Macaca fascicularis: one gene and its partners. The protein of the gene in region 3 purifies or fractionates together with the protein of the main gene of each other region. This does not show direct contact. Links are inferred from orthologs where the notes say so. Each region holds a gene or a part of one and is shown on either strand. Other genes may lie near its edges.

Region 1 (4,479 bases), on a different chromosome or scaffold from region 3:
TGTCTTTCCACTTGTCCCAGCACTGTTTTTTGACGACTGCCCTTTACCTATTGAATTGTCTTGGCACTCTTGTGGTCAGTTGATGTCAATGCGAGGGTTTATTTCTGAATCACCTCAGAACCATTTATATGCTGTTTTATTACCTGAAACAGTCTTCCTCACCTTCTAAACTTGAGTGTCCCCTTTCCTGCTACTGTTCCTGGCTAATTTGTTTTCATCCTTCAGGTCATAATATAAATTTCTTTGTATAATCTTTAGAGATTTCATCCCTAATAATCCTCTAGTCCCTCCCAATCTAAATTAAGCTCTTTTAAAATACTCTTTCATAATACTTTGTACTTTCTTATTGTACTACTTTTTAATAATATATTTGTTTATATTTTTTAATTTAACACTTTTTTTTCCTATTAAGACATTAGGTCCATGAGAGCAAGGACCATGTTTGTTTAGTTTACCACTATATTCTCGGTGCCTCTCATTGTGCCTGTCAACATAAAAGTACGTCTTGAAAGTGGCAGGCAGTAGTTTATTTTAAACTACATATTTGTTTTGTTTCTATCTTAGGGCCATGAAATGACAAGCATTGGACTGCTGCTTGGTGTTTCTGCTGCAAAACTAGGCACCATGGATATGTCTATTACTCGGCTTCTTAGCATTCACATTCCTGCTCTCTTACCCCCAACGTCCACAGAGCTGGATGTTCCTCACAATGTCCAAGTGGCCGCGGTGGTTGGCATTGGCCTTGTGTATCAAGGGACAGCTCACAGACATACTGCAGAGGTCCTGTTGGCTGAGATAGGTATGGGATTAATAGTGCTGAATCTTCATAGGCATGCACTTTCCACTCCACATAAATCCAAGTAAAAATGATAATAAAATTATAAAAATTAAGGAAAGACAATAGTAGCTTTTGTGAGCAAAGAATGATCTAGTACTAATTAAAAAAAAAATCTCTAAGTAATGTTATCCAAGGCTGATGTAACTTCAGGTTATTAACCTCCATATTTATTTGCTAGCTTATTACTGAATTCCAGTGGTCACATTTAATGAGGTACCTGTGGTTTTAATCATATATGAGTATGCTGTTTATCCTGCTATGTCTATACCAGCAATGTCTAGCAGTGGCCTGCACTTAAAACTCAAAGAGTAGATTGTTTTGGTCCCTGAGAGACACTAAACTATACACATCACAGTGTTTACTGTGTTGGATACAGCACTTCCAATAGAAGTCGAGTAATTGACTCCTGCTTTCCTCCTTTACATGCTGGTGGGTATGTTGGTGATGAACCTGGAAATGGTAAGGTCCACACACTCACTTTAGTGAAGTGTCTCTGTTTCTTACTCGGTCTAAACTTTTTGGAAATCTGTATTATGTGTTGTCTTTTTCTGCCTAATGGAAGTGTTATTGGTATTATTAATATGCTCAACAATTTAGTTACATATTTGTATGTCCTATTCAAGATTTTTTCTATATGCATTTCTGAATATATTGTTAAAGATGTATTATTTAGTATAATGGTATCAGATAGCTATTGCCACAGTGATGCTTCATACATACAGGCATAACATTGGCCCAGGCAGCTCTGCTTTAGGCTGTAGCTGTGTAGCTGGCTGCTCTGCTGCTGTTCTGCCTCACCTGCCTTATTCTGGGACCCACGCTGGAGGGTGTGTTTCTCTCGTGGTGTTGACAGAAACCTAAGAGAGAACCAGTGAAGACCGGGACCCATAATTTAGTCTATTGTAATGATAGATGAAATTATTCCCAAAGTTGAAATGTTTCTGCTATCAAAATACATAGTAGCATAAGTTAGAGATCTGAAAAACACTTATTCAGAAAATATTCAACACTGGTTGTTAAAGCATGTTCGTCTGGAAAGTAGTTTACCATTCTTTGGCTACATCATGATTATGATGATGATGTCTAATGATGTCACTGCACAGTCTCACAGCTGTGGCATACTTCTTTCATACTGTAGATAGAAGATTTCATCTTTAATTCATATGTATGTGCCTTTTTATAGGATTACTCTCAGAATGTACATTAAAAATTCTGTTTGTATAGATCATTGTTATAAGTGGTTTTTAAAACAAATTTTGTATAATACTCATTGAGTTGATGGTCTGTAAAATGCTTTTTTTGGTTAACTTTTAGAACTTTTTAGATTGTTTTAATAATCCTTTGTTGTTATGTATAAACATTACACTGATTACCTTTGTGTGATTTTTTTTTTCTTTAATTTTATTTATTTATTTATTTATTTATTTATTTATTTATTTATTTTGAGACAGAGTCGTGCTCTGTCGCCCAGGCTGGAGTGCAGTGGCGTGATCTCAGCTCACTGCAGCCTCTGCCTCCAGGGTTCAAGCAATTCTCATGCCTCAGCCTACCAAGTAGCTGGGATTACATGTGTCTGCCGGCATGCCTGGCTACTTTCGTAGTTTTAGTAGAGATGAGATTTCTCCATGTCGGCCAGACTTGTCTTAAACTCCTGACCTCAAGTAATCCTCCTGTCTTGGCCTCCCTAAGTGCTGGGATTATAGGCAAGGGCCACCACGCCCAGCCTTTTTTCTTTTTTTTTTTTAATTGCATTTTTTTCCTATCGGGATAAAATTTCAGGAGTGTGAAAATTTTTTTCAGAGGGAAGGGTTTTAATACATAGTACATTTTGTCATTTTCAACAAGGTAGCATTAGGGTTATAGGGTGCTTTTTAAAAGTATGAATTTTATATCCAGTCAGACTTCTGAGATCAATGCACAGAAATTCTGCCATAGTAGGGCTCATTATTATATAGACTCGAAATAAATGTTGAAACATAATATTCAACAATAATATAAGCAAGTGACATCCTTATTCATTATCATCATTTGAACATGTTTCGCCACATGTGATGAGTGAATTTGAAAGTAATGAAAGCAAAATGTAAGATATTTTGTTGTAGCTGTTGTTGCGATGCTGTCTCACTCTGTCGCCCAGACTGGAGTGCAGTGACCTGATTTCGGCTCACTGCAACCTCTGCCTCCCGGGTTCAAGTGATTCTTCTGCCTCAGCCCCCCGAGTAGCTGGGATTATAGGCACCTGCCACCCTGGCTAATTTTTGTATTTTTAGTAGAGACATGGTTTCACCATGTTGGCCAGGCTGATCTCGAACTCCTGACCTCAAGTGATCCACCTGCCTCGGCTTGCCGAAGTGCCGGGATTACAGGCATGAGCCAGCACACCCAGCCGAGATGTTTTTTAAAAAAATAAAACTTTTTTTTGGAATACTCTTCCCTTTAAAAATGTTTTCTATTACTTGGTAATTTTTTTTGGTAAGACTCAAAGTTTCATAGTATTTGAATATCATTGCTTATAAAGACTTAAATTGGCAAAACAAAAACTATTTTGGGCCCTTTTTTTTTTTTTTAGGTAGGTAAACCTACATTTGTGGACACCATAGTGTCATAACTTTCTGAATGGAGTTATATTCCATTCGTATCGCCAGTGCAACTTGCTAGAAAGTTAATTCTAAGATTTTTATGAGTTGCGATTTTGAGAGGCTAGTTTGAACTGTGTCGCTTTTCTTTTTACAGGACGGCCTCCTGGTCCTGAAATGGAATACTGCACTGACAGAGAGTCATACTCCTTAGCTGCTGGCTTGGCCCTGGGCATGGTCTGCTTGGGGGTAAGCATAGTCTGTGCCTTCCCATGCTTCAGTTAGGACATCTACATGTTGAAACAAATAACCTTGACACCTAAACCTGAATACTGTCCCTTACTATGACTTAATGCTGCCCAGCTCTCTTGTCTTTTTGGATATTTTTCAAAGTACCAGATTTGCAAATGGAGAGAAACTGTGGTCAAGAGTGAGACTTTAAGATTTATTTTCCTCCAGCTTACAGTGTTCATGAACAAACTAAAGGGAATGAAGTTTTTTTTTTTTTTCCCAAGTGTTCAAGACATACAATGAATAAGTGACAGCCCACTATGATTGAAAACAGAAAACAGTGAAAACGTATATGATCGGGAGCCTTAAGAGTCTATAGTAGCTGCCTGAAACAAACCCTAACCCCCTTTTGCCATGGTGGTGTTCACTGTGTATCCCAGAATGTTTCCCAGTAACATCTTCCTTGTGACAGAATGCAATATCAGATTGACCCGTCTTTAACTGCATCCAAGAGATGTGTACAGAATTACCAGAAACATTTCATTAAATGATTGTTTCACTTGAAATGTGGTTCCCCTTAAAAAACCACCAATACATTGTTATGGTCAAACTAAATGATATAAAGAAAGTTATAAGGCCGAGGCAGTCAGGTCACCTGAGATCGGCAGTTTGAGACCAACCTGACCAACATGGGGAAACCCTGTCTCTACTAAAAATACAAAATGAGCCGGGTGTGGTGACACATGCCTGTAATCCCAGCTACTCAGGAGGCTGAGGCAGGACAATCACTTGAACACAGGAGGCAGAGGTTGCGGTGAGCCGAGATCGCACCAT
Region 2 (4,946 bases), on a different chromosome or scaffold from region 3:
CCCAAAAAAAACAACACAACAAAAAAGTATAGTCTAGATGACTTAAGTTCTCTTCAAACTCTGTGATTCTATGTATGTAGTGAGAAATAACCATCTGATGCCTGGATACAAAAGTATTATTACACCCACAGAAGGCATTCTGATACTCATATAACATACATGTCTACTTACACATGCATAAGTTACCTCTGTAATGACACAGGAAAAAATAGTTACTGCCTCTGGAGAAAGGAAATGGTGGGGTGAGGTTCAAGACTCAGGGAAAGATACTGATCTGCATGCCCCTTCTCCACTGTTTGAATTTAACAGTGTCTACTGCCTATTCCACAAGAAATTTTAAAGTATAAACCATGAAGGGCAGAAACCTGAACATGTCCTAAAGCTAGGAAACTGCCAATCTAACCTAACATGAAAAAGCATGGGCTAAACTTAGTCTAGCCAGAGAATTAAACTGTTTCAAACTCTCCTGTAACATCTTTGAGAACTAAGAGCAAGTAGGGCCTAAATCTCCAAACGTGGAAACTATGCTTTGACAAATCACTCAGAACCAAGAACCAAGTGAAAGGTTCCAGAATAAACACAGAAGGCTGACAGAGACCAGGGCTCCTGTCAACATGAAGTGGATGGTGGCAAAATGATGGGTCTCACTAGTAAGGTCCAAAGCACACTAATGAGGCCGGGCTCGGTGGCTCACGCCTGTAATCCAAGCACTTTGGGAGGCCTAAGTCATGGGGATCACTTGAGGTCAGGAGTTCGAGACAAGCCTGGTCAACATGATAAAACTCCATCTCTATAAAAAAAAAAAAAAATTAGCCAGGCGTGGTGGTGCGAATCTGTAATCCCTGTTACTCAGGAGGCTGAGGTGGGAGGATCGCTTGAGCCTGGGAGGTGGAGGCTGTAGTGAGCCAAGATCGCACCACTGCACTCCAGCCTGGGCAACAGAGCAAGACTCTGACTGAAAAGCAAAACAAAACACCAAAGCACACTCATGAAAATCCAATGGGCAGCAGCAGCTGCATTGTAAGCACTTTAAGGACCTTTCCCTTCTGACCTAGACCAGCTTCTATAGCAGGCCAAACACTAATACATCTACAGAGTAGAAGTTTCCATGATAATGCCATTTGGAGGTAGCAGACTGGTGGCTCAGAATGGAGACTCTCCAGTCAGAGAAGACCAGGTCCAGACATTGTACTCCTCCATTTATTAGATGTGTGAACTCAGACAAGGGTATTTCACCTCCCTGAAGTTGTACTCACTTCCTCAACACACTCAATAAGCATGTGAGTGCTTAATGCGCACATCCACTGTGCTTTCAATTGCTAGGCGATGCGAAGGGTAGAAAAGTGGGAGTACCTGAGAGTCCTGGGAGTCAGAGAAGGTTCTCTAGGAGAGATGTTCAGGCTAAAACCTGAAGGAGGAGGCAGCGCTGAGATAAGGACCGTTGCAGCAGGAACAGCAAGTACAAGGGCCCAGAGAACACGCTTGGTACATTCAAATAACACAAAGAGGCCAAGCGCGGTGGCTCACGCCTGTAATCCCAAAATTTTGGGAGGCCGAGGTGGTGGGATCACCTGAGGTCAGGAGTTCAAGACCAGACTGGTCAATATATTGAAACTCCGTTTCTACTAAAATTACAAAAATTACCTGGGCATGTGGCGCTCGCCTGTAATCCCAGCTACTTGGGAAGCTGAGGCAGGAGAATCGCTTGAACCCAGGAGGCGGAGGCTGCAGTGAGCCGAGATCGCGCCACTGAACTCCATCCAGCCTGGGCGACAGAGCAAGGCTCTGTCTCAAAAAAAAACAAAAATAAATAAAAATAAATAAATAACAGAAAGAATAGCCAGAGAGGCTGGAGAGCAGTGAACACAGTAATGAGATGAAGTAGCAGAGAGTGAAGGGCAGATAGTTCCTTTCGGAGGCCATGGGAAATAATTTTCATTAGTGCAATAAATGATTTTTTTTTTTTTTTAAGACGGAGTCTCGCTCTGTCGCCCAGACTGGAGTGCAGCGGCGCGATCTCGGCTCACTGCAAGCTCTGCCTCCCGGGTTCCCGCCATTCTTCTGCCTCAGCCTCCCCAGTAGCTGGGACTACAGGTGCCCGCCACCACACCCGGCTAATTTTTTTGTATTTTTTTAGTAGAGACAGGGTTTCACCGTGTTAGCCAGGATGATCTCGATCTCCTGACCTCGTGATCCGCCTGCCTCGGCCTCCCAAAGTGCTGGGATTACAGGCTTGAGCCACTGCAACCAGCCAGTGAAGGATTTTAAGCAGGAGAGGGACATGTACTTAAGGATGGACACTCAAGGATGGAATCAGCCCAGTGCTTCAATGAAACAAGAAAGGCGCCACGCCCACCCATTAATGGAATCTCCCGTTTCTTTTTTGAGACAGGCTGTCGTTCTGTCGCACACGGTAAAGGACAGTGATGCGATCACGGCTCACTGCAGCCTCGACCTTCTGGGCTCAAGCAATCCTCCTGCTTCAGCCTCCCGAGTAGCTGGGAACTCAGGCACGCACAATCACGCCCGGCTAATTGTTTAATTTTTATTTTTCATAGAGGCAGGGTCTCCCTATGTTGCCCAGGTTAGTCTTAACTCCTGGGCTCAAGCGATCCTCCCGCCTCGGCCTCCCAAAGTGCTGGTATTAGAGGCGTGAGCCATCGCGCCCGGCCCCGTTTTCAGGGGTTTCCCAAGGCGAGAAAGTGGACCCTCCTGATACACTTAATGGGGTGACCAATCTCAGATGCGGGGCTAGAGCATAAAAACCAGGAGGCTGGGTCCCGGAGCTGCAGCGAGAGAAAAAAACGTTCTCTGGAAGGAGCCGAGAGGGGAGGATTCGGCCCAGCGATGTGACAGTCGCGCTACCCCGCGACAGGTGCCTCAGAAAACCCTCGCCTGGGTCGTCCTCAGAGCCTCTGCCTTCTATTTCTCCAAGCCGCCGCTCGCCACATCTCCGCAGGGACTTGACGCCGGCACCCAGTGAACCCAACTTGCGCTCCGAAGTCTGCTCCGCTCCACTACGCCCTCGCAGACGCCGGAGCCTCCGCTGGTGCGGGAGGCCGCTCCTTCCCGCCTGTTCCCGCGTGCCCTGAGCCCCCGGTCCCAGACCACTGCCGCTTTCTCCTCAGCCCCAGGCCGCTCCCCGCCTCAACTCACGGGTTGTTATTGCTCATTGTAAGTAACAAGCTGCTGAGGAGCCGCACGTTGGAGTGCAGCCCCGCGGCCGCCATGTCCCGCACGTGGTCTATCACATTCATCCTGCCCTGCAAGGCCGCGGGCAGCGGCGGCAGCACTGTCTCGAAAAACCGGTAAGGGATCCTTAGGGAAGACTCCAAAATGGCCGCGTCGCCGGGGTCCATCGGGTCCACACGCGGCACCGCCCCCAAGCAAAAGGTAACTACTGAAGTGCCCGAATAAAAAGAAACTCGAGTCCCTGCTCCTGTCGTGGTCCCTTTCCGGTGAAATGAGTTGTTACTTTTACGCAAAAATTACGTCATCATCCTAAACTGCAAAATTTACTGAGGACTTACAATGAGACAAAAGTCACCTTAGTAAGACTACTTGGTCAATTTGAATGAGTCTGAGAGGAATTTGGGCCTCTCAGAAATTAAAATGTGTGAGCACTTACCAGAAATAAAATATAGTAAGGTGAGGAAAAGCGCTCCAACTGGAATTAAATATTCTAATCGGGCGCCAGGGACAGACCTAACGGCTTTTACAGTCGCGCATGCGCACCAGGCAGGGGCCGCCGCCTCCCTGCTCAGGTGTTTTGTGTTCCTGCTAAAGTCAGGCTTTGTCCCTGGATGAACTTGTTAATTCGAGGGGCGTATTTTACCATGTAAAATGATTCCCTAAATCCGTGGAAATAAAGACTAGATCCAGGAATTAGCTGATACCCATATAAACCAGCATGTGTCTGGCACAGTTAACTTTTTACAAAAGTTTTACACAAGTTATTGGACGTTCACAACAATCCATAAAGTTGAAGTTGTCTTTCCCTTCTCACAAGGGAAGAAACTGCCTGCTTAAATTTTGTGCTCAGGTTGTTAAATGGTTGACTTGGAATCAGATCGCCAGTGGTTAAATGTGATGGATCGCAAACTCGAATGTATACAGAGACCAGGGAGGTAACTGAGCCAATGAGGCAGTTTAGGTATTTGAATCAGAATCCCAATATCCTCCACAATCACCCTCTCAGATATAGCCTTTCGCTCCTTTCTTGAAGGAGACAGTTGTTTTGGTCTATATTTTGTTTTCATTTGATTTTTAGAGTAACAGATGCAAAAAAAAAAATGCTCTGAAAAAATCACGGTATATCTTCACCAGTCAACTTTTTCAGCTCTTACATTTTGTCACAGTTGAAGCTCCTGTGATCCTTTTCCCATCTCATCCCCTACTCTAGTTTTCTGGATGTATGAGACCTTTGATGTGATTTTGGTAGGCATGATCACTGTGAACTTTTCTTTTTTTTTTGAGATGGAGTTTTGCTTTTGTCGCCCAGGTTGGAGTTCAAAATCTCAGCTCACTGCAACCTCTGCCTCCCGGGTTCAAGTGATTCTCCCTGCCTCAGCTTCCTGAGAAGCTGGGATTACAGGCACCTGCCACCACTGTCACGCACGTCCGTGTGAAGAAACCACCAAACAGGCTTTGTGTGAGCAACAAGGCTGTTTATTTCACCTGGGTACAGGTGGGCATGTAGGAGGATGAGCCGCAGACAAAACTCCTCAGACACCAAATTAAAGAAGGAAGGAGTTTATTCGGCCAGGAGCATTGGCAAGGCTCCTGTGTCAAGAGCTGAGCTCCCTAAGTGAGCAATTCCTGTCCCTTTTAAGGACTCACAACTCTAAGGGGGTCCATGTGAGAGGCTCATGATCGATTGAGCAAGCAGCGGGTACGTGACAGGGGCTGCATGCACTGGTGGTCAGAGTGAAACAGAACAGACCGGG
Region 3 (4,986 bases):
CATTGTTTCCCCTATGCCCAGTCTATTCTTTATAGAACAGCCAGAGTAACTCAGTTAAAATGTAAATCAGATTGTGTGGACCCTGTGCTCACAACCCTCCACTGACTCCCCAACTCCTCATGTCCTACCTATTACTCGCCCTAGAGAACACTATGCCCAAGCCATTCTAGGCCCTCTGCACTTCCATTCTCTCTCACTGAAATGCTCTTCCACAAATATCAGAAGGCTCTCTGCTTCTTCAGACCTTTACTCAAAAGTCACCTTCCCAGTGACTTTGGCCCCCCAATCAAAAATAAAACACCTCCCCTGCAAATATTTTATTCCCACTTCTCAGATTTTTCTCCTCAGTATTTACTGCAACCTTTTTTTTTTTTTTTTTTTTGAGACGGAGTCTCGCTGTGTCTCCCAGGCTGGAGTGCAGTGGCGTGATCTTGGCTCACTGCAAGCTCCGCCTCCCGGGTTCACGCCATTCTCCCGCCTCAGCCTCCCAAGTAGCTGAGACTACAGGCGCCCGCCACCACGCCCGGCTAGTTTTTTGTATTTTTAGTAGAGACGGGGTTTCACCATGTTAGCCAGGATAGTCTCGATCTCCTGACCTCGTGATCCACCCGCCTCGGCCTCCCAAAGTGCTGGGATTACAGGCTTGAGCCACCGCACCCGGCCATTTACTGCAATCTTAAAACTACATATTTTATTTATTTATCTATCTATCTTCTTCATTGTTTACCTCTCTCATAATGAAGGCTGTATGAAAAGAGGGACTTTTTGGTCTGTTTTGTTTACTACTGTATACCCACTACTAAGAATAGTGACGGACATATACTAAGGCACTCAATAGGTATTTGTTGAATGAATGAAAAAGGTAGTCATTTCCAAGAGGCAAAGTGTACTCTTTAATGAAAAACTATAACAAACGGTGCTATTTGGCAATATAATCACATTCAATATGCACAGTACATGACCTCTTGAACAATTCTTATCCAATCTTCACATCAGCCCAGGATAGAAGGAAGGCTGGGCAGAGATTATGATGCTGGTTGACAAAGAAGCTGAGTTCAGAGAGCAAAAGGACTCGCCAAAACTCACACATCTGTCCAGGACAGTACTGGAAATGTGGACGACTGCTGTCCCTGGAAGAGCCTGGTAAGTGATGGAGCTTAATAGGAATTGGGTTTGAAGGACCTCTGTTTCCAGAAAGCATGAGTATCTCTAAAGGCGAAGCTGAGTCAGAGGTTACTGGAACTGAGGCATCAGCAAAGGAATGGGAGAGGTTACGAGGTTGACCTCTAAGGGGACTTGGCCCAGGTCTGAGGAGGGCAGCAGATTCCCCAAGCAACAGAATGCTGTGCCTGAGGCTGACTAGTCATTCAAGTCTGTACATAATCTCCAATGTCAGAATTCAACAGACAACCTTAAGAGAGATCACTGAGTCTACTGCATGTCTGCAGGGTTTGGCTTCCCTGGACTGTGAGGTCTTCCAGGGAAGCCACCATTTTCATAGATGTATCCCCAGTTTCTAGCAAGGCCTGGAATATAGTAATATAGGAACTCAAATATTTTTGTTCAGAGCAAAAATAAAAAAGAATGAATGTGCTCAAACGGGAAACTGAAGCTGAGAGAGCACAGACAGGAGGGACATAACATTAACCAGCAATTCTGGAGTAGTAACAGATTAGTTTTCTTAGTTTTCTGGAGTAGTAATTAGATTAGCAGGACAAACGGCCCTCGCACTAAGAGGTTGCTGTCAACTATTCTTCAGAAGGGGTTAACAAGCAAATGGTGCCTGGGAACAAAGCGGCAGGGGTTAAATGTAGCCGTAGTAGTGGGGCCAGGATGGAGAGGCCGATTGGCTGAGCCTCGAGGCGGGTCACACTTCCTTCCCTAACACTGTGACTAAGGTATGCAACGTCACATCCGGTTTAGTGGGCGGGAGCAGGGAACAAAAGGAGACGAAGGACGCATGCGTTTGGTGAGTCCCGGATTCTGGTGGGTTCTTCCGCTCAGGCTGAGTTAAGCGCTTCCGGGTCGCCGCCGGCTGCAGCCTCCCGGCGCGGTAAGTACAGAGACAAGGCTGCCGTCGTCTCCTTGCCCCTTCATTCCTTCTCCCACAGAAACCCATTTCCTTTGACCCGACTGCCCAGGAGCTCCATATTGAGAGTCCTTAACCCTTAAAGAGCTCCAGTTCATTGGCCGCTTCCTCGAGACTAAGCCCCACCCCTCACACAAGGTCCGTCATTCATTGGTGTCACTTCCTGTCACCCAGCATTTCTTTCAGTTAATTGGCCCTACCCAGGCCCCGCTTTTTTCGCGTTTAGCAACCCTATAAGGCCAAATTTCTGTCTTGAGTCCCGCCCTACTTTCTTTCTGTTGGTCAACTGCATGGTCATTAGCGTAATGAGTAAAGAATGGGCGGTGGCTTTGCGACGGTGGGTTGGGCTTTCCGAGCTGAGATCTCTGGCCTGTCAGTACTTCTTGGACATGAGGGTGTTTTCTCTCGTGCCTAATTACGCAGGTTGGGAATCTGAGATACAGGGAAGGGCAGCGGCTGGCCCTGGGTCGGTCAGATAAATTAGGACAGAAGCAGGACCAGCGTCAATTCTTTTCTCCTGCTCATCCCTTTCACGGAGGAGTTCTAAGCCCCGACTCACTGTATGACCTAAAGCCAGTCTCTGCCTGTCGCTGGGCCTCAGTTTGCCTGTCCTCAGTTTAATAAAGATTATCTAGCACTCCTGGTCGGCTCCCTCAGCCGCTCAAAGCTGATTGTACCCTTATAATGTTAGTTCATCCATTCAATCTTACATCTACTTATTTATCCACTTATTCATGCCTCCTAGAATGTCTTACTAAGCCCTGCTTGCATATGCTACAATCCCCCCACCCCAACATTTGGCTGTGATTCATGAGCGGTCGTTAGTGTCCTAAATTTCTGACACTGGGTGGGTGTGGCATGGGCCATCATAAAGGTGCAAAAAGCAGGTTTTAGTGTATGGAGGAGGTAGGGATAATTTCAGTAGAACCCTGCTACCTCTAATTTTGTATAATTTCATAATGCCAGTCTGCATTCTGGATTCCTATTCCTACACTTGACTCCCATTCCCTTCCCTCCTTGAACAACCTGCAAACAGCTTTATCTATCCATTATTTACTTAATTATCAGAATAACTTTGACGGTGGTATAATTGTTATTATCCCCATTTTACAGATGAAGACATTGAGGCCCAGAGAGGTTAAGTGACTCAGCCAAGGTCAAACAGCTAGTAAGTGTTGGAGCCAGGACTCAAAGCCAGGTCTATCTGATTCCTAGTGGGAGGGGCTGCTTTCCTGCTGTCTTCCACCCTATCCCTAAATCAAATTACAACCAAATTAAAAACGAAAACTAAGCAAAACACATTCACTTGACCCTTTCCCTCAGTCTAGGAGCCATGTCCACTTTGTTCCCCTCACTCTTCCCTCGTGTGACTGAGACACTGTGGTTTAACCTGGATCGACCCTGTGTGGAAGAGACAGAGCTGCAGCAGCAGGAACAGCAGCATCAGGCCTGGGTGAGTGAGCAGCTAGCACAGCACAGACAGAGACCCCAGCACAGACAGAGACCCCCTTCAGTGGGCCATGACCCAGCCTTATTCTGGAAATCTGCCCAGGAAGAGCTTTTTGCCCTCAGCTGGGAATAATCAGGCTGGGAGCCAGGGAGCCAAGGTTCTCATCTTTTCATACCCTAATTTACAGGGGTACCATGTGACTTCTGGGCCAGATTAGAGCCCAGGCTGCTGACACTCAGCCCAAGCTCTTTTCCCTAAAGCACAGGAAATAATTTTGACTATTGAGGATCTAGCAGATGACACTTTCTAGGCTGGTAAGTCTCTCACTTCATCCTCACCATAATTATACGAAAAAACCAAGGCTCAGAGAGTTTAAGTATTTAGATCAAGTTCATAAATGGCAGATGACAAGAAAGGGATTGAATCTCCCTGAGAACTGGGAGGAGGCTTCTCCCCCACACGTGTGGCTCGTCTTCTGGGCAGAATGGGCCAGTCCCATGCCCCTGACCTGCCCTACTTGGGCTCTGGCCTTTTTCGTCTGTGCCTTTGCCCACAGCTCCAAAGCATCGCAGAGAAAGACAACAACCTGGTTCCTATTGGCAAGCCAGCCTCAGAGGTGAGTGGCTCTAGCAGGTGGGGCCTGTGTGGGGGCCACAGTGGACCGAGGCTCTGCTCTAATTCTGAATGTCCTGCCTCTCACCCAGAGCAGTTGTGGTTCTCAGATCTGGGTGAAGGGCAAAAACGGGAGATAGAAGGGGTGGGCATTGGGCCTAGCATTAAGGTCCTGCAGAACATGCACCAGCCTGCTAGACTCAAGGAGGGAGGGTTGGGGTGGGGGGTCATTCATTGGCCTTAGAGAGAGGTTCAAGTGGGTCAGTTCTTGAACTGATCCACGCAGGCCTGTAGGGCTTACAGGCTCTGTCCTGCCCACCAGCACTATGATGACGAGGAAGAAGAGGATGATGAAGACGATGAGGACAGTGAAGAGGACTCAGAGGATGATGAGGACATGCAGGACATGGACGAGATGAATGACTACAATGAGTCGCCTGATGACGGAGAGGTCAATGAGGTAGGCAGGGGGTATGGGGGAGGGCCTCTCTTCCTGGGCCCCTGCTTCTGACCCAGTTGATGGCCAAAGGGTACAGAAACCCTGGATCCAGCCAGGGACAGGATCTGGGGCTGAGGCTGGCTGAGGCCCCTCCCCACCCACACCCAGCCTCCTCTCCAGGTGGACATGGAAGGCAACGAACAGGATCAGGACCAGTGGATGATCTAGGTAGACAAGGCAGGGTGGCCTCAGAGAGATTCCAGGCCAAACTACCCTGCATCCCAACCCCCAACCCCTGCCCACAGAACCAGCTGATGGCCCCAGTGCCTGAAAGTACCCTTGGGCACCTCCTCAGCTGCTGCCAGGATCTGGTCTCCTTGGCCCCTCCCAGGCCAT
Region 4 (4,479 bases), on a different chromosome or scaffold from region 3:
TATCTGGACTGTTCTTAATGAAATGAATATGACAGAAAATAAGAGCATTTTAAAACTGAGTGCTTAATGCCAAGAAGTGGCCATATGATATCTGAGAATAGCTTAATGATTTGTAACTTCCTTGCAATCTCTTAAAAGTTGTAAAGGTAAGTGTGCAGCCTTGACCTGCAGGGCTCAAGTGATCCTCCCACTTCAGCCTCCCAAGTAGCTGGGACCACAGGTAAGTGCTACCACACCCAGATAATTTTTTCATTTTTTGTAGAGACAGGGTCTCACTATATTGGCCAGGCTGGTCTCCAATTCCTGAGCTCAAGTGATCCCCCTTCCTTGGCCACCCAAAGTGCTGGTATTATAGGCCTGAGCCATCACCTCTGGCCAAGATTTTCATGTAGGCATGGTAACAAGATAAAAGACCTATCAGCCAAATATACGGTTTCAAAGTTTTCAGAATCTGTTGCTTCCTTTGAAAAATGATTATGGCATTGACAAAAAGAAAAATGGGAAAAAACTCATGAAATTAAGTTGAAACACAGGTTTTCTTTAGTTAAATATTTAGGTCACCACTGTAACTAGGGGAAACAATAAAATTCATTTATGTTAAAGTAGCTGTGAAACAATAAATTAGAAATAATTTTTTAAAGGGCTTTTCCAAACACAGCTCTTGTCTGTCTGTGTATATGCTACATACCAATAAAGGACCATAGGGTTTTCTAGTAATGAATAAGACTTTCTGTCTTCAACTCTCTTTTCTGTACTATTCAAAATTAAGTTATATGAATAGGTATCCTCTGTATGTATTCTCTGTGGCAAAGAACACCTTTCCTCTAGATCTTTGCATGGATCATGAAGGGAAGAGTAACCTTCCCTCTGAGGGCATAAAAACAAAAACAAAGCAAAACAAAAACACCATATTTCATTGTCCCCCAGTTTCCTCACCATGCTTCATTTTTCTTCATGACTTATTGCTACTTGTTCTTATACATTTATTGGCTTACAATTTGTCTGTTGCTAGAATGTAAGCTCCACAGAGGCAAGAAATTGTCTGACTAGCTGTAATACAGAGTCTAGAAGAGAGTCCAGGATATCTTATGCACAGAAATATATACTGAATAAATGAACTGAAAGCAAATTAAGCAAAAAACGAATCATATGAACTTTAATCCATATTAGAAATATTTTATTAATATATAGGTTTCTAAAAGGTTTCTTTTTTTAAGTTGGGGGTGGAGAAAATGCTTTGGGAAGAACTGAGGGGTAATTTAAATTGGGAATTAGAATTTTCTTTGACTTTAGGTTAATCATTCTCTCCTTTTCTGGTATAGACAGATAACTTAAGCAACAAATTTAATTAAAATCCAAAGAGTAAAAGCCTTGTAATAAGGACATTGTGTCCTCAAACACAATTTTCTTCATAGCATTCTTCAAGTTTATAAAACATATTTAATGTCAAAAATTCATCCCAGTAATTAACTCTGTATATTGTAGAAAAAATATAAATCCTATTACATGGTAAATATGTATTTTCAGATACAACTGAATAGGATACAGTCTACGTCTACGTAAGAATGTCTAGATGACAAACCTATTCCGAGAAGTTGCAAAGAATTTAAATTACTCCTTAACACAAGTAACACAAGAAAGAACTGTATCTATACATTATAAATACTGACAAAATAAATATATAGACATTATATAATAAATACTGATCTTTTAGATCTAGCCTTCTCAAGCATGGGAATTTATTTTAATGAAATTGAAATTATCCCTAGAAAGGCACATATAACCATTTTTATACTTACTTGCATGTACTCTGAAAGTTCAAAATAGGCCCTTCCAATCTGGCACAGTACCCAACCAGTATTGTAGTGGTGAGAAGGTAGATGGCTCAAAATATTTATAGCTTCTTTGCAGTTGTATGAACACAAAGCTAAATAACCTTTCCCCATTTCACGAAGAAGGCTCATCAAACCTTCTAGGAGAAAATAATATAGTAAACAAAGGAAAAAATGCAATAAAACAGTTTGGTTCTCTAGAAAAGGTAATTACAAACTAATCTATTAAAAATTCTAACATCTATGTAGAAAACAATGAAGGTACTGTAATGAACATAAAGAAATTTACTTAAAATAAGTACATAATAAAATATAAAGATAATATTAAGCATTTAAAACAGACCTGCTGCTGCTTTTTGTAGATTAAAAGCCTGAATCTGAGGTGTGATTGTGGATATTTTCCCTTCTGAAATGATGGAAGAGTCTAATTTTGTAATTTCCAGGCTATCATTTATGTTAGGTTGAGTTATTCCTCCTTTGTTAGTTTTACTTTTTGTTTTTCTGTTTGGGATTTTAGGTGGAAACTTCATTTTTAATTTTTTGCTATTCTCCTGTAAAAGGGGGGAAATTTCACACTTGTTATACTCATGTATTTTAGAATTCTCCTCAGCCCTTTCTCCAGTATTAGATATAAAATAAATGTACAATCTTGATTAATTCTATATTTTTTTCAGAAGAGTTTATAAAAACAAAGGTCTTCAAAGTCATTTAATTTTAAACACAGTAATTCTGAACATAAATTACATTAACTGATAGTGATTAAGGTGTGTCAGCATTAAGTGTAGCCCTCTTGTGAAAGTATATCAAACTCTCATTTATTATTTAAAAGTAAGAAAATAAGTAGATGTAATTCTTGGCTCACTGCAACCCAACCTCTGCCTCCCGGGTTCAAGTGATTTTACTGCTTCAGCCTCCCAAGTAACTGGGATTATAGGCATAAGCCACCACACCTGGCCTTTGTTTTGTTTTTTGAGACAGGGTCTTATTCTGTTGCCCAGGCTGGAGTGTAATGATGTAATCAGAGCTCACCACAGCCTTGACTTCCCCAGACTCAAGCGATCCTCCCACCACAGCCTCCCAAGCAGCTGGGATCAAAGAGTACCACCATCCCAGCTCATTTTTTTTTTTAGAGATGGGGTCTTGCTATGTTGACCAGGCTGGTCTCGAAGTCCTAACCTCAATTGATCGGCCCACTTTGGTCTCCCACAGTGATAAGAATACAGGCATGAGCCACTGCATCTGCCAGGTCTCCAGTTTTTTTTAACTTTTATTTTCAAATAATTTTAGACTCACTCTTCCGCAAATAATAATATCTGACATAACCATAGTATATCATCATATCCAGGAAACTGAAATTAGTACAATACTATCAACTAAAGACCTTATATGGATTTCATCAGTTTTTACATAAAACTGTGTGTTTGTGTGCATAGTTCTATAAAATTTTATCATGTGAATGGATCTGTGTAATCAACCACCACAATCAGGATACAGCACAGTTGTACCACCACAACAAAATTCTTTTGTGCCCTGATTTAATAGTAACATCCCTCCTAGAGGCTTAACTCTTAATAACCACTGATCTGTTGTCCACTACTATAATTTTGCCATTTCAAGATTATTCCTGTCATTTTTAACTTGAGAAAAAAAATTTTTTAATTGAAAAAGAATATTATATAATATTTACCAAAGGACTAATTAACTTCACAAAAATTATAGATGTCCCTCTAACTTAAAACATTCTTAAACTTGAAATAGTCTCTTTATTAACTTTTTAGGAATGGAGTCATCAATGAACAGAAATTTCAGCAGGGGAAGCATTAAGTAAACGTGACATACAGAAATCTTTAAATTACCTTGGTTGTGGAGCTGTCACTAGTAAAGAGTCGTGAACTTCTTCGAGGCAGTGCGTTTGGGGGAGATGCAATTGTGGGGCTCAATACCTGAGGTGTTGTACTAAAAAAAAATTATAAAGGAAGACATTAATATTTTACTTGATTTATGACCATTAACCGTTGTTTCAATTCAGGTATATTTAAAAAATACACATTAATTATGTAAGTACTCTAAAGTTGACGAATTTGATCAGTTCTTTTCGTGGTTTCTCTATGAAAACACAGTATTTAAAAATGAGGAACTCAGACTGGCTTTCCTGCTTCTCAGCTTGCAGACGGCCTCTTGTGGGACTTCAGCTTATGATCATAAGTCAGTACTCCTTAATAAACTTTCCTTCATATAAAAAATAAATAAAAATAAAATGACTCGTTACTACAAAATAGTAAAGATTACAGCACAGATCTTCACTCTCTCTGAAATTGTTAATTTGAACTAAAAATAATCCTCATAAAATTCTGGATCAATAAATGATAAGCACATCTATAACTCAATTATTTTTACCCTTCATTTGCAACTACAACAAATTAGAGAAAAAAGAAAAGACAGTTGGGCAAACAGTCTAATTGTGGGGTATCTGTCAACAAATACCACTAGAAAAAATGATATTTGAGAAGTCATCTCCCTGTAAATTCAAACAACTACATCAAAGGTTTATTCTGTCTAAAGCAAAAGGAGCCTCTGTACATTTTCACTTTAAAGGCAAACCCTGAGATATGAGAATTTCAATCCTAGGAGCAAGCAAACCTAAAAT
Region 5 (5,016 bases), on a different chromosome or scaffold from region 3:
TCACTTGAGGTCAGGAGTTGGAGACCAGCCTGGCCCCAACATGGCAAAATCCCGTCTCTACTAAAAACACAAAAATGACCCGGGCATGCTGGCATGTACCTATAGTCCCAGCTACTTGGGAGGCTGAGGCAGAGGTTGCAGTGAGCCAAGGATCATGCCACTATACTCCAGCCTGTGTGACACAGCGAGACTCCATCTCAAAAAAACACAAAGTTGTATTCATACCTCCAGGTCCTTTCGAATGCTCTCAAACTCTTCAATGTCATCAAGCTTTAGCTCTAGGCGTGTTGGTTTTCGTCTCAGCATACTGAAGTCAACACTAAGGGCCAAACCCAGTGAACTATTAGCTGATAAAAATGAAAGAGAGGAGGAAAAACTGAAGGTAATAAAGTCTCAGATACAAAACATAAAATCAGTTTGCAAGCCTGTGTACTAAAGTGAATGGAAGTATTAAAACTTTATTTGAATTCACACAGACTTCTAAAGTCTTTTTAAGAGATGGGATCTTGCTCTTTGCCCAGGCTGGAGCACAGTAGCATGACCTTAGCTCACTACAGCCTCAACTTCCTGGGCTCAAGCAATCTTACTGCCTCAGCCTCTAGAGTAGCTGGGACTACAGGTGTACACCACCATATCTGGCTAATTTTTGTGTTTTTTGTAGAAATGGGATCTCTCTCTGATGCCCAGGCTGGTCTCAAACTCTTGGGCTCAAGTGTTCCTCCCTCCTCATTTTCCCAAAGTACTGGCATTATAGGCAAGAGCTACTATACCCAGCCAACTTCTAAAGTCTTTAGGTATATGATTATTACATTTTTATTACATTATGGAGATCTACAGCTCTGTAAAATCAAAAACTCTTTCAGTAAGAATTTAAAATAGCAAACTATCACTTTAATCTCATGTTCTAGTCACATTCAAAGAAATACTCTAGCTAAAAGAATAAACTATCACATCTCAGTATAGTTAGAGGAGAAAGTGGACAAACCAGTGAATTTAATCTACTCTACGTGAGAACTGTCAGAGATTTGTGATCACTCCTGAATGCTAAAATCAGTTTGCTAAATCTCATGAAGACTCCAACTCACCAATTCACAGGATTATCCTCAGCGTCCAAACAGATCCTAAATGTGTGTACGTCATTCATTAAACAAACACTTCTTGTGCTCCAGCTACAGAATTAAAAGGTACAGTCATAATCTGTGGGGAAAATAAAGAAAACTATGATATCATATAACGAGAACCCTAATGAGGATACTGGCACTGGCATCACACAGGCACCTAATCCAGTCTGGGCTGAGTGTGGGGTGGACAAGGATGTCAGGCAAGCCTTCCTGGAGAAAATGATATCTTAGTTGACTTCTGAAGGGCAGGCAGAGAGAAGAGTGCACAAGGAGGCTCAAGACCAGCTTTGGCAACATAGCAAGACCCTGTCTCTACAAAAAAGTAAAAAAATTAGCTAGGCTGGTAGTGTGTACCTGTAGTCCTAGCTACTCAGGAGGCTGAGATGGAAGGATCACTTGAGCCCAGGAGTTTGAGGTGGCCACAGTGAGCCATGATCTCACCATAAGACCCCAACTCAGAAAAAAAAAAAAAAGAAGAAGAAAAGAGGTTCAAAAGAGCATTCCACAGCCTGAAATCCCGAGGTAATACTGTGTTAACAAAAACCATTTTGTTTTGTTTTGTTTTGTTTTTGAGAAAACACAACTCCCCCAATTGAGTTTAATATCTGTTGATGGCATCATTTGTATATTCTCCACAGCATCCCCTAGAGTGTATCTATAAAAACAGTCAGTAAATGTTTGTTGAATAAAAGGTGAGATCATTCTTGAGCACTGTGCTCTTTTTCCATTCCCATTCTTTACATTCTTAACACAAAAACCTGTGAAGTTGACAAAATGATTCCTATTTCACACATAAAGAAGTCATCGAAGCAAGCTGTTCAGTTTGGTTAATAATTTTAGCCTCCTATAAAAATTATACAGGTCAACATGATAAGGATTAAGTGAGAATGATGGAAGTGAAAACTCCTTGAAAGTATATAGAGATACAAATTATTACATGTATCTAGGATGAAACTAGGGACTGTGAAGTATACAAAGGAAGAAATATTTCCTTCTCCCATGAAGCTTAGGATATTACAGGCGATATTATCAACACAAAACACTGGCACATTACATTTCAAATTGCTTTGTACTAAATCAGGCATTATCTTCTACCAGATTCCAATGCAGACAAATGGTAGAGAAAGCCAAAGTTCCAAAGAGGGAAAGAGAGGGATAGGGATACCTAAAAGGAAAAAAAAGGTCTACTATACATTTTACCTTTTCTGCAAACTGCGAAAAACTGGCCACTACGGAGCAGTATAGAGTAGCAGTTAAAAGTGCTGGCTGTAGAGGTTAAAGGGCACAGGTTCTAATCCCACTGCGCCACTGATCTTGAACAATTAGTTTCATTTCTAACTAGGCCTTAGTTTCCTCATCTGTATCCTACTTTGCTGTTGTAGGAAGTGAATAACGTAATGCAGAGTAAGCTCTTGGAACATTACTTGGCATTTAATAAATGTTCAATAAATAACACCTATTATGGCTGTAATTTTTCTAGGGGGTTGGATGAGGATCTGGCCAGCTACGGAAACGTCAATATTTTGAGGATCTCCCACCGTCCACGTGGGGATAAAAACCTTATGCTGTTCGTCTCTAATACCCCAGCATCCAGCAGGGCAGAGAGACGTACAGTTCCCTGACACCCTCCTAACCATCATCTTACTCTCAATCTGATACAAAGACCAGGCTGAAGACAAATGAACAAAATCAGGCCGAAGCTCCTCCGCCGGGTCTTTATTTGACTTTGGCACCAGCGGGCTCTTCTAGCTTAATCTCTCGCTGCAGCCCAAATCCACCGCCGAGCCATCAAGCTCATAGGTGGCCCCTGGGAAGACTTCCGGACCATGGAAGAGAACAGTCCTCGTCCCCTAGCTCCAGGCCTGTACCTCGGATCCCAGGGTTTCTATGGTAACACGGTCCTCGGCTCCCAGAAGACGTAAACGCCCCCGTAGGCCCGGGGAGGCACAGCGGGCCCCGGAAGCCCTCGACTCGCTCCAGAGTTCAGCCCCGAGCCGCGCGAGTCGACTTACCTACCTCTTTTCAAGTCGGCTCAGCCCCTTCCCGGAACCTCGGCTCCCCTCCACGAAACTACTGCTACGCCAACTGGACTACACTTCCCAGACGGCTTGGAGCCTCTCTCTCAGCAGAACCTCGTCTTCCGCGAGCTTTTCTTGGAGGTTCTAGGAGGGATGCCCCTCAATGCCACGACGCCATTTCCTACTACGACTTCCATCATGCTCCGCGCCGCTCCGGGCGCAGCGACGGCTCTTGGCCCATGTCCTGTTTGCGACACACTTCCGGTCAGTGACGCACTTCCGCTCTGCTGGGCGCGCGGTGGAAGGTCTGAAACGGAGAGCTTGGATTTCGCTGGGGCCTCGCGGCTCCAGAGCCCAGCATGGCTTCCTCGCGAACCTCCTCCACGGTACAGAGCCCGGGATCGCAACTCACTCTGGCAGGGAGCGCGAAGGGGGAAGAGGATCTCTGCGGGAAGGGGCCGTTAGGGAGCGAGAGAAGGCGGTGGAGGGCTGAGGAGGAAGGCTGCGGGACTCAGTGGTGTTCTACACAGCGGACCACCGTTTTCCTGACCCCTAAGCGCTTTCGTGGACTGTAGCTTATTTGCACCTCTCCCACTACAGCCCCAAAGGGCAAACATCTCTTCCGACTCATCCAGTAACGGTGCTCTGAAATAGGGAAGTGTCTTGGCCAAGGTTTATGCGTTTGGCAGATCTCAAAATTTTAATGAGACCTACTAACTTCTACCTCACGTCTAGAAACGTTTGAAATGTATACACTCGTAATGTTGTAACTTGTTATCCTTTAGCACCGCGTTGGTTATTTCATCTATCCTTAGTATTTCCCCAGTGATGAGCAGTAATCTTGGATACATCGTAAAACACGAGATTCCACGTTTCCAGCAGAATAAAGTAAACAGATTCCAGAGCAAACCTTTCATATGAAAATACTCGAGAGAACCTCACTAGTTTTATCAATCCCGTCAGCTAAAGTGAGGGACTGAAACACCCTCCCCTTCACCTCAAATCGATGAAGAACATCTTAAGTAGTGTCCAATTTGTCCTTTCAATTATGAAGGAAATAGGACTGTGAAACTCAGGGCGAGCTTCATCCTCGGGAAATCCGGTAAATTGCCAAGATTAAACCTCAATTTAATCCAGATTTTTGATTTGGCAGGCAACCAAAACTAAAACACCCGATGACTTAGTTGCTCCGGTTGTGAAGAAACCACACATCTATTATGGAAGTTTGGAAGAGAAGGAGAGGGAGCGTCTGGCCAAAGGAGAGTCTGGGATTTTGGGGAAAGAAGGACTTAAAGCAGGGATCGAAGCTGGAAATATTAATATAACCTCTGGTAAGATGCAAATTGTGAACCCATCTTTACCTCTTTGTGTAATGAATACTTTCCTAAACTTGAATATCATCAGTTTTATAATGTCAAAAAATTTAAGTTCTTTTGTTTTAGACGGAGTCTCGCTCTGTCACCAGGCTGGAGTGCAGTGGCGCGATGTCTGCTCACTGCAACCCCCGCCTCCCGGGTTCAGGCAGTTCTCCTTCAGCCTCCGGAGTAGCCGGGATAACAGGCGCACACCAACAAGCCCAACTAATTTTTGTATTTTTAGTAGAGACGGGGTTTCATCATGTTGGTCAAACTCCTGACCTTGTGATCCCTCCCCCTCGTCCTCCCAAAGTGCTGGGATTACAAGCGTGAGCCACTGCGCCTGGCAGAATTTCAATTCTTAAACTTGCATCTATAAGGCTGTATTTTGCCTACCCCCTTAAAATCATGCAGAGAGCCTTTTTCTTACAATGTGTTACATAGTTTTGCTTCTATGAGTGAGCAGTCTTATCAAAAATTCAGTGTACATTTGGATTCAGATTGATTCCATTTGTCTTCTGG
Region 6 (5,219 bases), on a different chromosome or scaffold from region 3:
AGGGCGATACGTCCACTTTAGAAACCAAGGGGGAAGCTTCCTTCCAGAGACAGACAAGAGGAGAGCCAGGCAGAGGCACCAGGGCGGGAGGCTACAGGGCTCTGGTAGGGCCGGGCTGCTGACCACGGTGGCGAGTGTCTGCTGCCTCCCTCCAGGCCTCAGCTTGGCTCTGGAAGAGTCCAGGTGTCCCTTGCAGCTTGTGGAGGGTCTGTGTGGCTCCTGCCTGCTCCCGGTGGAAAGGAGGGCCCTGGCAATCCCCGCACCTCCAGCTGTGGCCTGTGCTACAGCCTGGCATCTCTGGAGCCTGCAGGCACCGTGCCCTGCTGCGTTCTGGTACACATCATCTGTGTGGCCGGGCTCCACGCTCGGTCCCTTTTCCCCGCCCCTTCTGGCTGCCTCAGGCTCTCCAGCGCCACTTCCAGGCGAGGTCCCACTGGCCTCCCTCCAGGGTCCCGCCTCGGGTCCCAGGCATGGCTCAGCCACTGCCCATTGCTCAGGCCTGAAGTGCTGGGACAGCCACATTCCAGTGTGTCTTAACCTCAGTGGGACACAGGAGTAGCTCAGGAAGGCCTCGGGGCTGTGCTGAGGGGTCCCACCAGCAGAGCTCCTGGCCAAGGGACCTTGCTGGACACCTGGCTGGCCATGCAGCCCTCAGCATCTACCCCTGAGCCGGCTGCTTCTGAGCCCTTGCAGCTGTCCTGCTGCAGGCTGACCAGTGGCGTTTGTGGAGGTCACGGCCTTGGAGCCAGAGCTAGGACCAAGGCAAGCCACTGACTCCCCCTCCATTTTCTGTCCGTAAAGAGAGGTTTGTTTCTGTTAAGAGCTGCCGGATCCTGGAAGGACTCAGGAACCCTTGGCCCACAGAGCAGGTGTGTCAGTGCCCCGGTGCCACCGGCACAGAGTACCACAGACCAGGGGGCTTAGAAGAAACGATCATCTTACAGAAGTCAGAAGTCTAAAGTCAGGCCAGCAGGGCCCTCCGACGGCTCTAGGGGAAGCTGCTTCCTCCCCTCTTCCAGCTTCTGGGAGGTCCAGGAGCTCCTGGGCCTGTGGGTGGCTTGCTCTGGTCTCTGCCGTGTCGCCCATGATGTTCCCCCGTGTCTCTGTTCCTGTCTCCCTCTTAGAAGGACACTTACTCTATTCCAGGGTGATGTCATTTTAATTATATCTTTAATGACCGTATTTCCACATAAGATCCCATCAGAGGTACTGGGAGTTAGGGGTTCATGTGTCTTTTTTTGAGGGGCACAATTCAGTGCATAACAGTCTGCCCCATGGCGGGTCCCTCCAGCATGCAAGTGACAGTTAACCCCAGTAGCCCCAAAAGTCTTCACCATTTCAGCATCAACTCCAAGTCCAAAAATCCCATCTAAATATCGTCCACACGAAGTTCCACAGCTCAGCATGTAAATATCATCTAAACGAGGCACGGGTGAGGCTTGGAGTGTGCTTCATTCCTCTCCAGCTGGGACACTGTGAAATCAGGCAACAAATGATCTGTTTCAGAAGTTCCACCGTAAGACAAGCATAGACATTCCCACCCCAAAAGGGAAAACTGGGAGGAAAAAGGTTGGCAGGTTCCAAGTGAGTTCAAACCCAGCAGCTGAAATTCCAGTTGACTTCCAGGCCTGCGAATCCTCTTTGGCTCCCTGCTCCGTCCTCAGCCTGCAGGGGCAGCCCCACCTCGTCAGCTTCGGCCTTGGGCTCTGCAGCTCTGCTCTTGGAGCCTGCCTTCCTTTCGGTCCAGCCTGGCAGCACTTCAGATGGTACAAAATTCTCACACACCTTGTTGGCTTATCATGCAGCTCACCAGTGTCCAAGCGCTCAGACAGGTGGGTCCGCAGCCCTTTCCCAGAGGCCCCACCTGGCCCTGTCTGCTGCTGAGATGGTTGGTTGGATGCACAGGTCACATCTCATCGCTAGCAAACCCTGGTCCAACCACACCCTTGGCCACGTCTCAGAGCTGCCTGGATACAGCATTTTTCAGATCCCCAAGGGCTGGTGCCTTTTTGCTTAATGGTTCCTGCCTCACTGATGGTTTCCCTCTTGTATTCTGCTGTAAGTAGCAAGGAGAAGGCAGGTGGCACTTGCCACACTGCTTGGAAATCTCCTCAGCTGAATGTCCAGGCTCATCAGCTGTAGGCCCCACCATGTACCCAACAGTAGAGCCCCAGCCAGCCAAGCTCTCTGCTGCCTCCTCTGGTTCCCAGTAGCACACTCATTTCCACCTGAGACCTCACTGGAAGCACCTGTTGGGTCGGCATTGCTGCTGGTATCCAGTCTGTGATGCTGTGTGTATTCTCCAAGACGACGGCAGCTCTCCTCTCCCGGCCATTTCCAGGCTTGTCTTCACGCCTTTCTACCAACAGTCGCGCAGGCCCTCACCATAGTTCTTCTAGCCTCTCCCCATCACCCACTTCCAAAGCTGCTGCCACCGTTCTCGGTGTTAGGTTTCCACAGCGCCTTTCCTGGTACCAAAAGATCTGTTCATTTCTTGTGGTTGCTGTAACAGTGTCACAAACTGGGTGGGTTAAAAAAACAGAAATAGATTGTCTTAAGTTCTGGAGGCTGGAAGTCCAAGGTGAAGATATTGGCAGGGCCCCGTTCCCTCTGAAACCTCTTAGAGTCCTCTGTTGCCCCCCAGTTTCTGGTGTTTGCCACAGCCCGTGGTGTTTCTTGGCTTGTGGCCGCATTGCTCCAGGCAGCCTCTGTCTTCGTGGGCTGCCTCCCTGCCTGCCTGTGTCTTCCCATCTTTCCTTTGCTTAGAAGGACCCCGGTCATTTGGATTAAGGTGCACCCCACTCCAGTGTGACCTCAGTTATATCTGCATCAACCCTGTTGTAAATACAGCCACATTTCCAAGCACTGGGGGTTAGGAGGCAGACGTAGCCTTTTTGGGACACACCTTGTGACGCTGGCCCCATTGCCATTTCATGGTAGCTGAGCAGGTAGGGACCCCACCCAGTCCTGTGCTCTCGCTGCTCACCTGCCTGCCAGAGTAGGGTGGGGCAGGTGGCTTTGGGAGCCCCTTTCTCACCCGGTACCAGGTGGCAGAGCCCATGGGCCTGAGCCCCCTGCAGCCGAGCTGCCCAAGCTGACCCTAGCCCTCCTTAGGCCATGCGGACCCTCAGTTGGAAGCACACCCTGGGCCTGGTGACCATGGACGTGGAGCTGGCTGACCGCACGCTGTCTGTGGCGGTCACCCCGGTACAGGCGGTGATCTTGCTGTATTTTCAGGACCAAGGTGAGCCCACCAGCCCCTAGCTAGTCTGCCCCGGCCACACGGCCCAGCTGTGGGTGAGGGACTGTTCCCCAGTGACGGTGTGGTTTGGGGCAGCTGCGCCAGCAGGCAGCACCCTTCCCTTTCCCACGGGCAAGGCAGGGTGGTCTGGGAGCCCCCCGACCTCTGGGCTGACAGGAGGCAGGGGAGGTGCAGCCTGTGCCCAGTCTGCCCAGTGTCCCGGTCACTCTGCACGCAGCCAGCTGGACCCTGGAGGAACTGAGCAAGGCAGTGAAGATGCCCGTGGCACTGCTACGGCGGCGGATGTCTGTGTGGCTGCAGCAGGGCGTGCTGCGCGAGGAGCCCCCCGGCACCTTCTCTGTCATTGAGGAGGAGCGGCCTCAGGACCGGGACAACATGGTGCTCCTGGACAGTGACGACGAGAGCGACTCCGGCATGGCCTCCCAGGCTGACCAGAAGGAGGAGGAGCTGCTGGTGCGTGTGCGGGCCCGTGGGGGGTGGCGGGGAGGGCCTGCGGGTGCCTGATGGGGGCTGGCCTGTGTCCGCAGCTCTTCTGGACATACATCCAGGCCATGCTGACCAACCTGGAGAGCCTCTCGCTGGATCGTATCTACAATATGCTCCGCATGTTTGTGGTGACCGGGCCTGCGCTGGCCGAGATTGACCTGCAGGAGCTGCAGGGCTACCTACAGAAGAAGGTGCGGGACCAGCAGCTCGTCTACTCGGCCGGCGTCTACCGCCTGCCCAAGAACTGCAGCTGATGCACCCGCCCGCCTGCCCGCCAGGTGCTGCCCTGCAGGTGCTCTCGTCCTCCCATGCCAGCCCCTGCCCGCCTGTGTCCCAGAATGCACTGCTCAGGGGCACGCCCACTCCCACCCCCACAGTGTGCAGATTAAAGCAAGTCAGGTCATCTTTTTCTATCCTGGTGGCTTTGTGGGGCCCCCCAGATGCCCCTCTATCCTGGGCCTCTCTCAGCCTGGCAGGGCCTGCTCCTCAGCAGTAGGCGAGGGGCCACCCAGGCCTACACATCTGCACTGGGAATCAGCCTCCTGAGAGCTTCCCGGGCCGCCCCCGCCTGGGTGCTCAGGAAGCCGCGCGTGAAACCCCACATCACACCTGGGCCACGGCTCAGGCAGCCACGTCCTAGGGCTTGGTGCTACCTGCCAGACCTCCAGCTCCATCCCTGTGCCTCTGGCCTTTGGAAGGAGCCCTGGGGTCACCCTCTGCTCAGCCTGTGCCCACCCCACGTGCCGGGCCAGGAGGTCTCCAGCGAGGCTGGGACGTTGCATGGGTTCGGTTGGAATTGCTTAGACTGGCGAATGACGTCTTGGCCAACACACCTCATCTCCGGCAGCAAAGCTCTGCTCAAAGCTATGCCCTGGTGGCCAGAGGGACTGGGCACTTGTCCCCTGCTCCACACTTGGGCAGGGTGGCCGCAGAGCTCGGCCTCACAGGTGTGCCTCGGAAAGGCAGGTCGCCCCCATGTCCCCCACATGTGTGGTCATGCGTGTGCAGGCTGCCCAAGGCCTGTCCCAGAGGCTGGCACTGGGAGAGGGAGACGCCACAAAGCTGAACAAGGGCCCTAGGGTCCAGCTCTGGGCTCTTCTGCTGCTAAAACCTGGGCCTGTCTCCCAGAGGTGCCATTTCCAGGCCAGACATATTCCACCCCGATGGTGCCGTCCTCCCAGGGGATAAAGGCCCTTTGAACCGGCACCTCGAGTCCCGCTCCTGCTGCAGCACCTTCCCAGGCTGTGAGCTGCGCCTGGCTTCAGTGCTCCCGCCACTGTCCCCAAATACCTTTGCTGGTTCCCACATGTCCACTGTCCTGGGCTCCTGCAGCCGCCGCCCAGCACCCTCCCACCTCTCCAGATCTGGCCTGTTTGAGCCGTCCTGCTCCGTGGACATGCTTGCACCCTCCTGACTCTGGAGAACTCTGTTTGCCTCGGGGCTTGAAGGAGGAAGTGGTTGGGATTAGGCA

What was found.
Region 1: the proteins of ANAPC15 (region 3) and ANAPC1 purify together in Homo sapiens (affinity purification with mass spectrometry; 3 studies listed by BioGRID and IntAct, with this or other methods). This does not show direct contact. The link is inferred for Macaca fascicularis from reciprocal best matches to the Homo sapiens genes ANAPC15 and ANAPC1.
Region 2: the proteins of ANAPC15 (region 3) and ANAPC7 purify together in Homo sapiens (affinity purification with mass spectrometry; 3 studies listed by BioGRID and IntAct, with this or other methods). This does not show direct contact. The link is inferred for Macaca fascicularis from reciprocal best matches to the Homo sapiens genes ANAPC15 and ANAPC7.
Region 4: the proteins of ANAPC15 (region 3) and CDC27 purify together in Homo sapiens (affinity purification with mass spectrometry; 3 studies listed by BioGRID and IntAct, with this or other methods). This does not show direct contact. The link is inferred for Macaca fascicularis from reciprocal best matches to the Homo sapiens genes ANAPC15 and CDC27.
Region 5: the proteins of ANAPC15 (region 3) and CDC26 purify together in Homo sapiens (affinity purification with mass spectrometry; 3 studies listed by BioGRID and IntAct, with this or other methods). This does not show direct contact. The link is inferred for Macaca fascicularis from reciprocal best matches to the Homo sapiens genes ANAPC15 and CDC26.
Region 6: the proteins of ANAPC15 (region 3) and ANAPC2 purify together in Homo sapiens (affinity purification with mass spectrometry; 4 studies listed by BioGRID and IntAct, with this or other methods). This does not show direct contact. The link is inferred for Macaca fascicularis from reciprocal best matches to the Homo sapiens genes ANAPC15 and ANAPC2.

Annotation. Positions count from the first base shown.
Region 1 is NC_088387.1:18,843,874-18,848,352, reverse strand, and holds part of ANAPC1 (anaphase-promoting complex subunit 1), read left to right. Parts: intron 1-564; coding exon 565-799; intron 800-3,571; coding exon 3,572-3,663; intron 3,664-4,479. UniProt on the Homo sapiens protein: Component of the anaphase promoting complex/cyclosome (APC/C), a cell cycle-regulated E3 ubiquitin ligase that controls progression through mitosis and the G1 phase of the cell cycle.
Region 2 is NC_088385.1:117,273,114-117,278,059, forward strand, and holds the start of ANAPC7 (anaphase-promoting complex subunit 7), read right to left. Parts: upstream 3,351-4,946; 5' UTR 3,258-3,350; coding exon 3,157-3,257; exon of another isoform or gene 2,357-3,156; intron 1,409-2,356; exon of another isoform or gene 1,354-1,408; intron 1-1,353. UniProt on the Homo sapiens protein: Component of the anaphase promoting complex/cyclosome (APC/C), a cell cycle-regulated E3 ubiquitin ligase that controls progression through mitosis and the G1 phase of the cell cycle.
Region 3 is NC_088388.1:70,873,081-70,878,066, reverse strand, and holds the start of ANAPC15 (anaphase-promoting complex subunit 15), read left to right. Parts: upstream 1-1,924; 5' UTR 1,925-1,969; exon of another isoform or gene 1,970-2,227; intron 2,228-2,456; exon of another isoform or gene 2,457-2,775; intron 2,776-3,202; 5' UTR 3,203-3,257; intron 3,258-3,412; exon of another isoform or gene 3,413-3,417; 5' UTR 3,418-3,422; coding exon 3,423-3,542; intron 3,543-3,726; exon of another isoform or gene 3,727-3,835; coding exon of another isoform or gene 3,836-3,853; intron 3,854-4,095; coding exon 4,096-4,155; intron 4,156-4,473; coding exon 4,474-4,611; intron 4,612-4,758; coding exon of another isoform or gene 4,759-4,818; exon of another isoform or gene 4,819-4,895; coding exon 4,896-4,986. UniProt on the Homo sapiens protein: Component of the anaphase promoting complex/cyclosome (APC/C), a cell cycle-regulated E3 ubiquitin ligase that controls progression through mitosis and the G1 phase of the cell cycle.
Region 4 is NC_088390.1:68,119,566-68,124,044, forward strand, and holds part of CDC27 (cell division cycle protein 27 homolog), read right to left. Parts: intron 3,789-4,479; coding exon 3,689-3,788; intron 2,384-3,688; coding exon 2,176-2,383; intron 1,973-2,175; coding exon 1,800-1,972; intron 1-1,799. UniProt on the Homo sapiens protein: Component of the anaphase promoting complex/cyclosome (APC/C), a cell cycle-regulated E3 ubiquitin ligase that controls progression through mitosis and the G1 phase of the cell cycle.
Region 5 is NC_088389.1:44,823,976-44,828,991, reverse strand, and holds the start of CDC26 (anaphase-promoting complex subunit CDC26), read right to left. Parts: upstream 3,328-5,016; 5' UTR 3,134-3,327; intron 1,198-3,133; 5' UTR 1,145-1,197; coding exon 1,086-1,144; intron 348-1,085; exon of another isoform or gene 320-347; coding exon 226-319; intron 1-225. Other genes in the region: PRPF4 (U4/U6 small nuclear ribonucleoprotein Prp4), read left to right, coding at 3,499-3,525, 4,293-4,470. UniProt on the Homo sapiens protein: Component of the anaphase promoting complex/cyclosome (APC/C), a cell cycle-regulated E3 ubiquitin ligase that controls progression through mitosis and the G1 phase of the cell cycle.
Region 6 is NC_088389.1:2,139,246-2,144,464, forward strand, and holds the end of ANAPC2 (anaphase-promoting complex subunit 2), read left to right. Parts: intron 1-3,114; coding exon 3,115-3,244; intron 3,245-3,479; coding exon 3,480-3,715; intron 3,716-3,789; coding exon 3,790-4,002; 3' UTR 4,003-4,151; downstream 4,152-5,219. UniProt on the Homo sapiens protein: Together with the RING-H2 protein ANAPC11, constitutes the catalytic component of the anaphase promoting complex/cyclosome (APC/C), a cell cycle-regulated E3 ubiquitin ligase that controls progression through mitosis and the G1 phase of the cell cycle.